2 linked regions of the Arabidopsis thaliana genome follow. The protein of the gene in region 1 interacts with the protein of each later gene in a pairwise test. Each region holds a gene or a part of one and is shown on either strand. Other genes may lie near its edges. The genes, in order: TT2 and TTG1.

Evidence for each region.
Region 2: the proteins of TT2 (region 1) and TTG1 interact in a two-hybrid assay, tested with the Arabidopsis thaliana proteins (one study listed by BioGRID).

What each region holds. Positions count from the first base shown.
Region 1 is NC_003076.8:13,724,878-13,728,685, reverse strand, and holds TT2 (Duplicated homeodomain-like superfamily protein), read right to left. Parts: upstream 1,944-3,808; 5' UTR 1,880-1,943; coding exon of another isoform or gene 1,816-1,879; coding exon 1,538-1,815; intron 1,465-1,537; coding exon 957-1,464; 3' UTR 725-956; downstream 1-724. UniProt on the Arabidopsis thaliana protein: Transcription activator, when associated with BHLH2/EGL3/MYC146, BHLH12/MYC1, or BHLH42/TT8. Involved in the control of flavonoid late metabolism in developing siliques.
Region 2 is NC_003076.8:8,369,625-8,374,585, forward strand, and holds TTG1 (Transducin/WD40 repeat-like superfamily protein), read right to left. Parts: upstream 3,224-4,961; 5' UTR 3,110-3,223; coding exon 2,084-3,109; 3' UTR 2,083-2,083; intron 1,557-2,082; exon of another isoform or gene 1,508-1,556; intron 1,383-1,507; 3' UTR 693-1,382; downstream 1-692. Other genes in the region: AT5G24510 (60S acidic ribosomal protein family), read right to left, coding at 1-14, 174-242.

The sequences.
Region 1 (3,808 bases):
ATATCATCTAATTGATCAAATTTCAAACAAAAACAATTCATTTGTATATACATCAAACTAACAAAAATACACAGATTTTCCAAATATCTCTATATTATTCCGCAAATCAAAACAAATCTAACATTCGATTTACTATGCAAAACACAAATGAAATATAAATAATATAAATTAATAAAAAAAATTTAGTTATTATATCATAAATAACACTATACACTTTTCTATGCACATTATAATTTATACACTACAATATCTTTCACTAAAAATGTATTCTAATACATTTCTTAAAATATGAAACCCCGCACGTATGTGCGGGTCAGAATCTAGTTTCCTTTAAAATACAAACACTTTTTGATGTCCAATAAAATACATGATTTTTTAGTATCCTTAAAATACATAAACTTCTAAATTGTACCCATAAAATACAGGAGATAGGGGGAAAATCCGGAATATTCCTTTGTTTTGTTTTTCAAATATGTACTGGCACATGACTTAGAACAACCATGCATCTAGTATTTATTTATACGATGATTCCAAAAATGAGAAGAACAAATTCCTTACATTAATGACTATGCCTGCCTATAAATAGACTATACATGTATATTCTAGTAATATTTCGTAATAACAAAATTGTAAAGTTGATTCGTATTACCAATAATTCACAAGTAGAATTTATAGGTTGGGTGGTTAAGCGGTGGTTAGGTTATAATAAAAGCTCTATCATTTGCTCATACATAAATTTACAAAATCTATCAAAAATATTTATGTCGTACGTATTTGCAATAATAAAAAATTATTAGTTAAAGACAAAACCCATTTCTATAACATGTGGATCGTATAATTATTTGTATTTCTTGGTCTCCTTAGTAAGTTAGTAATTAGAAGCGTTCAGACAAATACAGATATACTTTTGTCCGTATAGAGAAATATGTATTAACGTAGGTTTTTGCAATATAGGCTCAACAAGTGAAGTCTCGGAGCCAATCTTCATCGTCGCCACGATGATGACAAGAAGTGAAAGGTCTATTGAGATCGAGATTACCTTGAGCAGGAACCAACTCTCCCAAAATCTCGTTAGATGAAACAAGAGATGTAACGTTTCCACAGTCCAAACCATCAAAATCCATCAAATCCGGGAAGTGAAACTCCGAATGGATCCTATCGAAATCGAATTCGAGATCTCCCATCAACGAAGATCCACCTTGATCCATCTCTTGTTCTTTCAGAGGTAGTGGACTAGTACTACTCTTCTTCTGAAGAGAGAGATCCGAGAAGAGAAGAGTCTTTGAGCACCTAATCGCCTTTGTACGTATAACACATACATTATTCTCGTTGTTCGTCGAATGTTTTATACGTTTTGGTTGCTTGGTTTGAGTTTTGGGAAGTCTTTTGCGGAGGTTTGAGTTCCAATGATTCTTTATTTCATTGTCTGTTCGGCCTGGAAGCCTCCCAGCTATCAACGACCATCTGCTTTAATTATAATGTCACATAACAAATAACTTTACTACAAAAAGAAAATTCTATGTGGTTAGTGAAAAACCTGTTTCCAAGAAGATTATGGAGACGGATTATGAGTTCTTCTTCATCAGATGAGATGTTACCGCGCTTTATCCCCGGTCTTAGGTAGTTCTTCCACCGAAGTCTACAGCTTTTGCCACACCTCTTGAGACCTTTTATGTGTGCCAAGACAATTATTGTACGTAGAAGATATAAAGACGGATCGGTAGATAGAGAGATTAGTACCAGCTTGGTTAGGGAGAGTGCTCCATTTGCCTTCGCCGTGAGTGGTGATGTAATCTCTAAGGATCTTGTCTTCATGATCAGTCCAAGCTCCTCTGTTTAACTCTTCTCTCCTCACACTAGTAGTTGCTCTCTTTCCCATTCTCACTTTTCTCTCTCTTGTGGTTGTGTGGTTGGTACAATTGTCTTTAGTGTTGTGTTGAGAATAGATTCTGTTTTTGTGTTTAGCTGAGTATCTTTATAGGGGAGTTGTTGATATGTCCGTACATCAGTCGCTTTCTAAAACCTCTGTCATACACACTTTGAAATTTTAATGCTTTCTTCACCTGGTAATAATTAGCTTTGGTGAGGTTAATTTTACCGAATTTTAACATCTACAAAGAGTTTTTCTAAGCCAAGTGTGAATTTAGGCCTGGGAGTTCGGCAAATCGGTTTAATCGGGTCGGGTTATTCGGTTTTAGGGAATTTCGGTTTTTGGAAATGCTTCCGAATTAAACCGAATTTAATTTCGGTTCGGTTCGGTCGGGACTCGGGTTTTTCAGGTCGGTTATCTAGATTTATTTAACTTCCGAAATAAAACTGAAAATTTTCATATTCGGTTTATTTGAACCGAATTAGACATGTATCAAATACGGGAAAAGGGTATTTTCATACCCGTACTATTTTCTGAGTGTATTTTCGTATCCAAAAAAATTTGTTGGGTATTTTCATATATTAACCGCATATTTATTTGAATTTCATACCTCAACTTAAGAAAAAGTACAAAATTCAGAGTCAAAGTAACGGGTGTTAGTCAACTCCGTGAAGATGATAAGTCAGCAGACACATGGAAAATATGTGTCTATAACGACGTCGTTTTACGTTATGAACGTTTAAAATGTTAAATTTGTTGGGTAGTTTCATATCTAAACCGCATATTTATTTTAATTTAAAAAAAAGATTGCTAGGTAAACAAAGTATAAGAGAATACATGGTCACACATACCTACTATACATTGTATATCCAGCTACACGAAGTAGACACGAAGTAGATGTATTACATGACCACATATATGAAGTATAGGACGTCATGTGGTTAACACCATTGACATACAATTCCGGTAAACCGGTCAGTTGACTCAGGCTTTGACTAGTGTTGACCGGCGTTGACCAACAAAAAAATTTAAAATTATTTTTAATACTCAAAAATACGAAAATATTTTTTTTCTTTTATATATTCAAAAACATATTCTATATTTCGTAAAAATATATTTGTATTTTCAATGCATTAAATCTTATAATAATTAGTTTTATTTTTAATTTCAAAACTAAACTAAAACTAGAATAAAAATCATTATTAAACTTTAGATTAAAGAGTCATATACTCAATTGTATTAGGAAGCAATATGAAATTGAGTATATGACTCTTTAATCTAAAGTTTGCATGGTAAAGAAAATTATAATATTTTTTATATACTCTTTAGTCTAAATTTATTTTTGTATACTATGTAGTTCCTTTTGTAACAAATATTATTAAGAAAAGTTCTCGTAGTAACACATAAACAACCAAAAACTTGCAATTTTTCTTTTTAATATATAAAAAGATAGAAAATCTAACAATGTTGATTTCAGCAAAAAAGTTTTTAAAATAAAATTCATTTGTATTACGTTTTATTCTAATAATTTTTGTGGTTGATTTTTTTTTATAAAAAATATTGTATAGAAATAATTGAAGTGTTTTAATTGACACTATAAAAATAAGCAATTTCCTTACTTAATTAACTATAATAATATTTTCCTGTTTTCATTTAAAATTTAAAATTTAATAATGATTTTTAATCTATTTTTAGTTAAATTTTGATTTTTTTTGTAAAACTAATTTTTCTAAGATTTAATGCATTGAAATATAGAATATGTTTTTGAATATACAAAACCAAAAAAAAAATATTTTGTATTTTTGAATATTTAAAATAATTTAAAAGATTTTTTTGAATTTTTTTGTTGGTCAACGCCGGTCAACCCTAGTCAACGCCGGAGTCAACTGACCGGTTTATCGGAATTGTATGTCTATGGTGTTAACCACATGACGTCCT
Region 2 (4,961 bases), 5.4 Mb from region 1:
GATATGTTCTCAGCCTAATAATTTTACATTATTACAACACTTAAGTGAGATCAGTTTGAAACCACAAGGCAAGAAAAGAGAGATGACGATTCTAGAGACTAAAACATAGGCTAAACAGTGTCTCAATAGCTAGAAAACAAATTTGAAGAAAGAGAGAAGAGAAGAAAACTAACGGTGATCTCGATTCCATCATCGTGGAGGATGAGAGCAGCATAAGTGCAGGCGAGCTCACTGGTCGACATTCTATCTACCTTTAACCTCTTTGTACTCTAAGTTGTATTATTATCGCTTGCATTTTAAGTTTTGAGGACGTAGGTATTTTATATTTGGGCTAGAATTTTGTAAAATTTAACCCATCACATAAAATCTGACAAGTAGCTTGATCTTAATTGTAACAAGATCACAACAAATTTAAAAACATTTTGACACATGTCAAATAGTTACATTTTAGAGTATACATTTGTTCCTAAATCTAAAAGATTTCATAAGCTAAATTTTCTATTTTGATCATCTTATAAATTGAAAAAAATATGAGTATCCATGTTTTCCAAATCACTTCTCAAACCATTAGAAAAACTCTATTTATATACAAAGAAACACATTGTGATTATTAGAATAAAATAAATAAAATTTTAAGTATGGTATGATATTATGGAGACAAAAGTTAAAAAGTAAAATTTTCATTTATAGTATATAGATTTATAACATTTTGGAATTCTACTATTAATGGTTTATAGATTCTTATATTTCTAGAGGAGATTATCGGATCAGTGATTTAAATTAATTCTCATTTTTTATAATTTTCAAGATTGAAAATTTTGCTACGATTTATAAGACTTCAGATGTGAAGATTCTAAAATATTTGTGTCAAACATTGGATTGTTTATAATAATTTACTCACCAAATTCCCATTGGAGTTCATTTCAAATCTTTGTGTCACATAGTCGACTGAAACTCCATTGAAATTCAATTTAAATCTGTGTCAAATAAACAAATAAGTCTTCCAATGGAATTTATACTGCAAATCTTTGTGTTAATTATGCAAAGAAGTTAATTCAAACTGACAAACTCCATTGGAATTCATTGCAAGCTGATTTATCTTAGAGACGTCCAATAAAGCAAGACAGGGTTGCATTGTACTAAGCTCCAATTACCAAATCTAAACACCAGAAACCGCAATATATCCTGGTTGGGTTTTATACACAACATAAGATAATAGTATCATTTGGTTCATCAAATGAATTCAGTTTTAGTTACAATCAGATAGATACAGAGTCATTGCGGACCTAAAAGCGAGAGGGAGCGCAAACCAAACCTACTTACGCACATGACGATTATACGGGTCTATGCTAAAATCCTTATTGATCACTTCACATCTGCACCTGACATCAAGTGAAATGTATAGTAATTATAAGGAAAGGTTATTTGATTTTCTAGGTTGCATATGTGCGTGTATATATGCAATGCTGTTGTCTAAATGAGTTACAAAAACCTGAAGCACACATACAAAGATGTTCAAACCAGCATGAAGTTTCCAATTCCACTTCTATATGTTTCTGAGGGCATACAGCACAGTCAGCAGTAAACAATTCTCAGATACTTCGTTAAATTAACAATATTTGTATACGTAGCTAGTGGCTTCGTTAAATTAAGAATAGATTGTCTCAAAAAAAAATAGACTGAAGAATTATGGGTAAAAATTAGAACCTGACGAGTGTACAACTATTCATCATATGATACATCAACTTAGATGAAAGCCAACATATGACTACTACACTATCAGCCATTACAGCAAGTGTGAGACCTGTCGCTAATAAGAGCCAATATATATGACTACTAAACTGTGATTTATGTATGCATAACAAAGTAATTGATTTTAACAGAGATATTGATTCAGGTAAATCTAAAACGAGTTAGTGTCAAATCTCTAGTGGCTTTGTTATCAAGAATCGAAAAAACGTTTAGTTACCAAACCTAGAAGACTATCTGTAATGCAACACAATCTAAACCAATAATCAATGCTTCCTCATTAGAATCTAGGCCTAGCAAATGAGAATTATGTAGCGAAACAGAAACTCTCACCTCAAACTCTAAGGAGCTGCATTTTGTTAGCAAAAGCAATACCAATCCAATCAGGCTGCGAAGAAGACCACTGCAACTGATTAATCTCCGAACCAGCCGAATAAACCGACATCGGATCAATCCCATTGGGTCCAGCAACAGTAGGAAGCTCCCAAATAAGAGCCTGTGTATCATCACCACCAGAACAAATATGTTTACAGCTCTGAGGCGCCCAAGCTATAGCATTCACACTAGCCTGATGTCTTTCAAGCTCAGCAACAGGCATAGTCGGCGAACGAATATCGAGAATCACAACCTTATTAGAATCCATCAAAATCGTAGCCATATATCTAAGATCTTGTTTGTTCCAAGCAAGTCTTAACAAAGGCGTATCAGGCTGAGGACTCTCGTAAATGATTGTAGAATGTTCCTTATCACGTAAATCAAAGATCCTAACGGATCCATCAGCAGAGACTGATGCGAAAACCCTAGCTTCTCCCCAAGCAATGTCATGAACCTCTTTATCATGAGCTATAAGCTGAGTCTCAACAACAGACTTCTCAATATCCCAAATCGTACACGTCGTATCAATACTACAAGTTCCGAGACGTTTCGGCTCTACATCGTTCCAATCGAAGGAAGTCAACGGCGCACAAAACTCGCTCGTTTTGCTGTTGTTGAGAACCGAGATTGGCTCGACGGTTGATGAATCTTCGTTAATTTCCCAAAGACGGAGGAAATCGCCGGAGGAAGCGAGGAGATCTCCGGAGGAAGGACGACGGAGAGAAGGAGGACTGAACATTAGCTTTGTTGGAGGATAAGGATGCTCGAAGGAGAGATTCGGGAGAGGCTTAACGGTCATTGAATCGGAATCGAAAGAGAGAATGTCGATGCGGTTGTTGTAATCTTCGAGGAAGCTTCCGACGGCGATTCTGTGACCGGAGGATGAGCGGAGAGAAGAGAAAGCCATGGCGTAGAGTGGATATGGTGAGTCGTATGTGACGGCGGTTTCCGATCTGGATAACGAATCTGGAGCTGAATTATCCATGGAAATGTGTGGTGCTGATTCGATTCGAGATTTGGCTTCTTCACGACGAAAGTGAGAGGAGAGTTTTGAGGTCAGTGTCAGTCGGATTTTTCAAGAGACGGAGAAATAATCAATGGAGACGGCGTAGATATAAACCCTCTGGATTAATCAGTATCTTTTAATGTATCTATTGATAATGGGCTTCTGTATATTCAGATAATGGGCCTTTTATTTTAACGTTAAGAGCTATAGAATGGCCTAATTATTGGATCACTAGGATGACATGAAACACTAACAACATTAATATGTGACACTCTAATCATTTTACTAACAATTGTCTAATTCAGCTAAAATAAATTGTTTGTGATTAAGATAATCAACAATCCTTTTTTATTATTATTATTAAGAAAATGTAAAATTTATTCGAAAAAAGCTTTTAACATTCGGTAAATAATTTGCATACAATTTTTCAAGAAAGTTCTACTCCCCTTTAGTGTTTATATTAAAGCAAACCAAGCTTCCATGCATTCATCGTAGCTTCTATCTCCTTGTTCACGAATAGAGAAGATCCAGATTCAAATTTGTTTGTCAATATTTGGAAGCAGTTGCGCCGGCGGTAATGGTGCCTCTCCATGTCTCGTATTGTTGCTCTCTCTCCATATGGAATAAACGCGATCTCAAAGGTGTAACGTGCTAAAAAGAGATTTAGTCTTCCCAATGACGTGTCTGTGAGGGTTCTTTCAACATCACTCCACCTTGCAAGTGAATAATAAGCTTAGTTAGTCTGCTAATCTTTATCTGAAATTTGGTTGTTGGCATTTATCATAAGACATCGAAGTTGTAAATTTGGAGACAATATAAATCTAGCATTAAACACATGTCAAATGGAGGATTTATCAAGTGGTAACATAAATTCTTATCATAATCTAGCATAAGTCATGAATCAATAAATAAATAATAAAAACTAACCACTAAATATGATGAAAAGCATAAACATAACTAAAGAATATAAATAAAAGATAAGAGATTAAAAGGTGAAAAAATCTTTTACTAATTGGAATGAGAATATGAAGATCTTGATCCAAAATGTAAGAACATTATATAGATCTCAAAATTTATGAAGGGAGAAGAAAACTTAGGTTAAAAATGTCTAAAGCTTACTTAAATAAGAAAAGATTCAAATTAAACATGACTAGAATATGTGTAGAAAACTCGAAATAATGTTTTTTAAAACACATTTATGGGTTATTACGATTTTTCTGTACAATGACAGAGGTTCAAATTTAGAGGAAAGGGACATAACGAAAGACGCCCTACTTTGACATGCCCTACCTGCTTCAACCCCAAACCCACGTTTACTCCAAATTCATACTATTTGATATTACATCAATCAATACAAATAGATACATCCAATAATTCGTACATACTCGTGATATTCACTTATTTAGAATAATAGTCAATAGTTCATACTGTAATTAATAAATTAGCCCATTGACGACAAAAAAAAATGAGCTCATTAATTAGCTACCTAGTATATTATCTTGATCAAATGTTGGTAATTCAATTAGCTAGTTTTTGGGGAGAATAAAGTATGGAAGAATAGGGTGCGGTTCATAAGAGAGTTAGCTAAGGAGGTATTGGAGGCGAGAGCTAGTAGCGGAAAGGCAACACAAAGGGCTGGTCGGGTTGAGAAGCTGATAAAATGGCTTATCTCGTCTATGGGCTGGTTTAAATTAAATACTGATGGGGTATTTTATGGCAATTCGAGACTCGCGGCTGGTGGTGGTCTGATACGTAATGAGGAGGGTGAATGGTGTGGAGGCTATGCGCTAAACATAAGGATGCTTATTTTATGGCCTATCTACCAACTTGA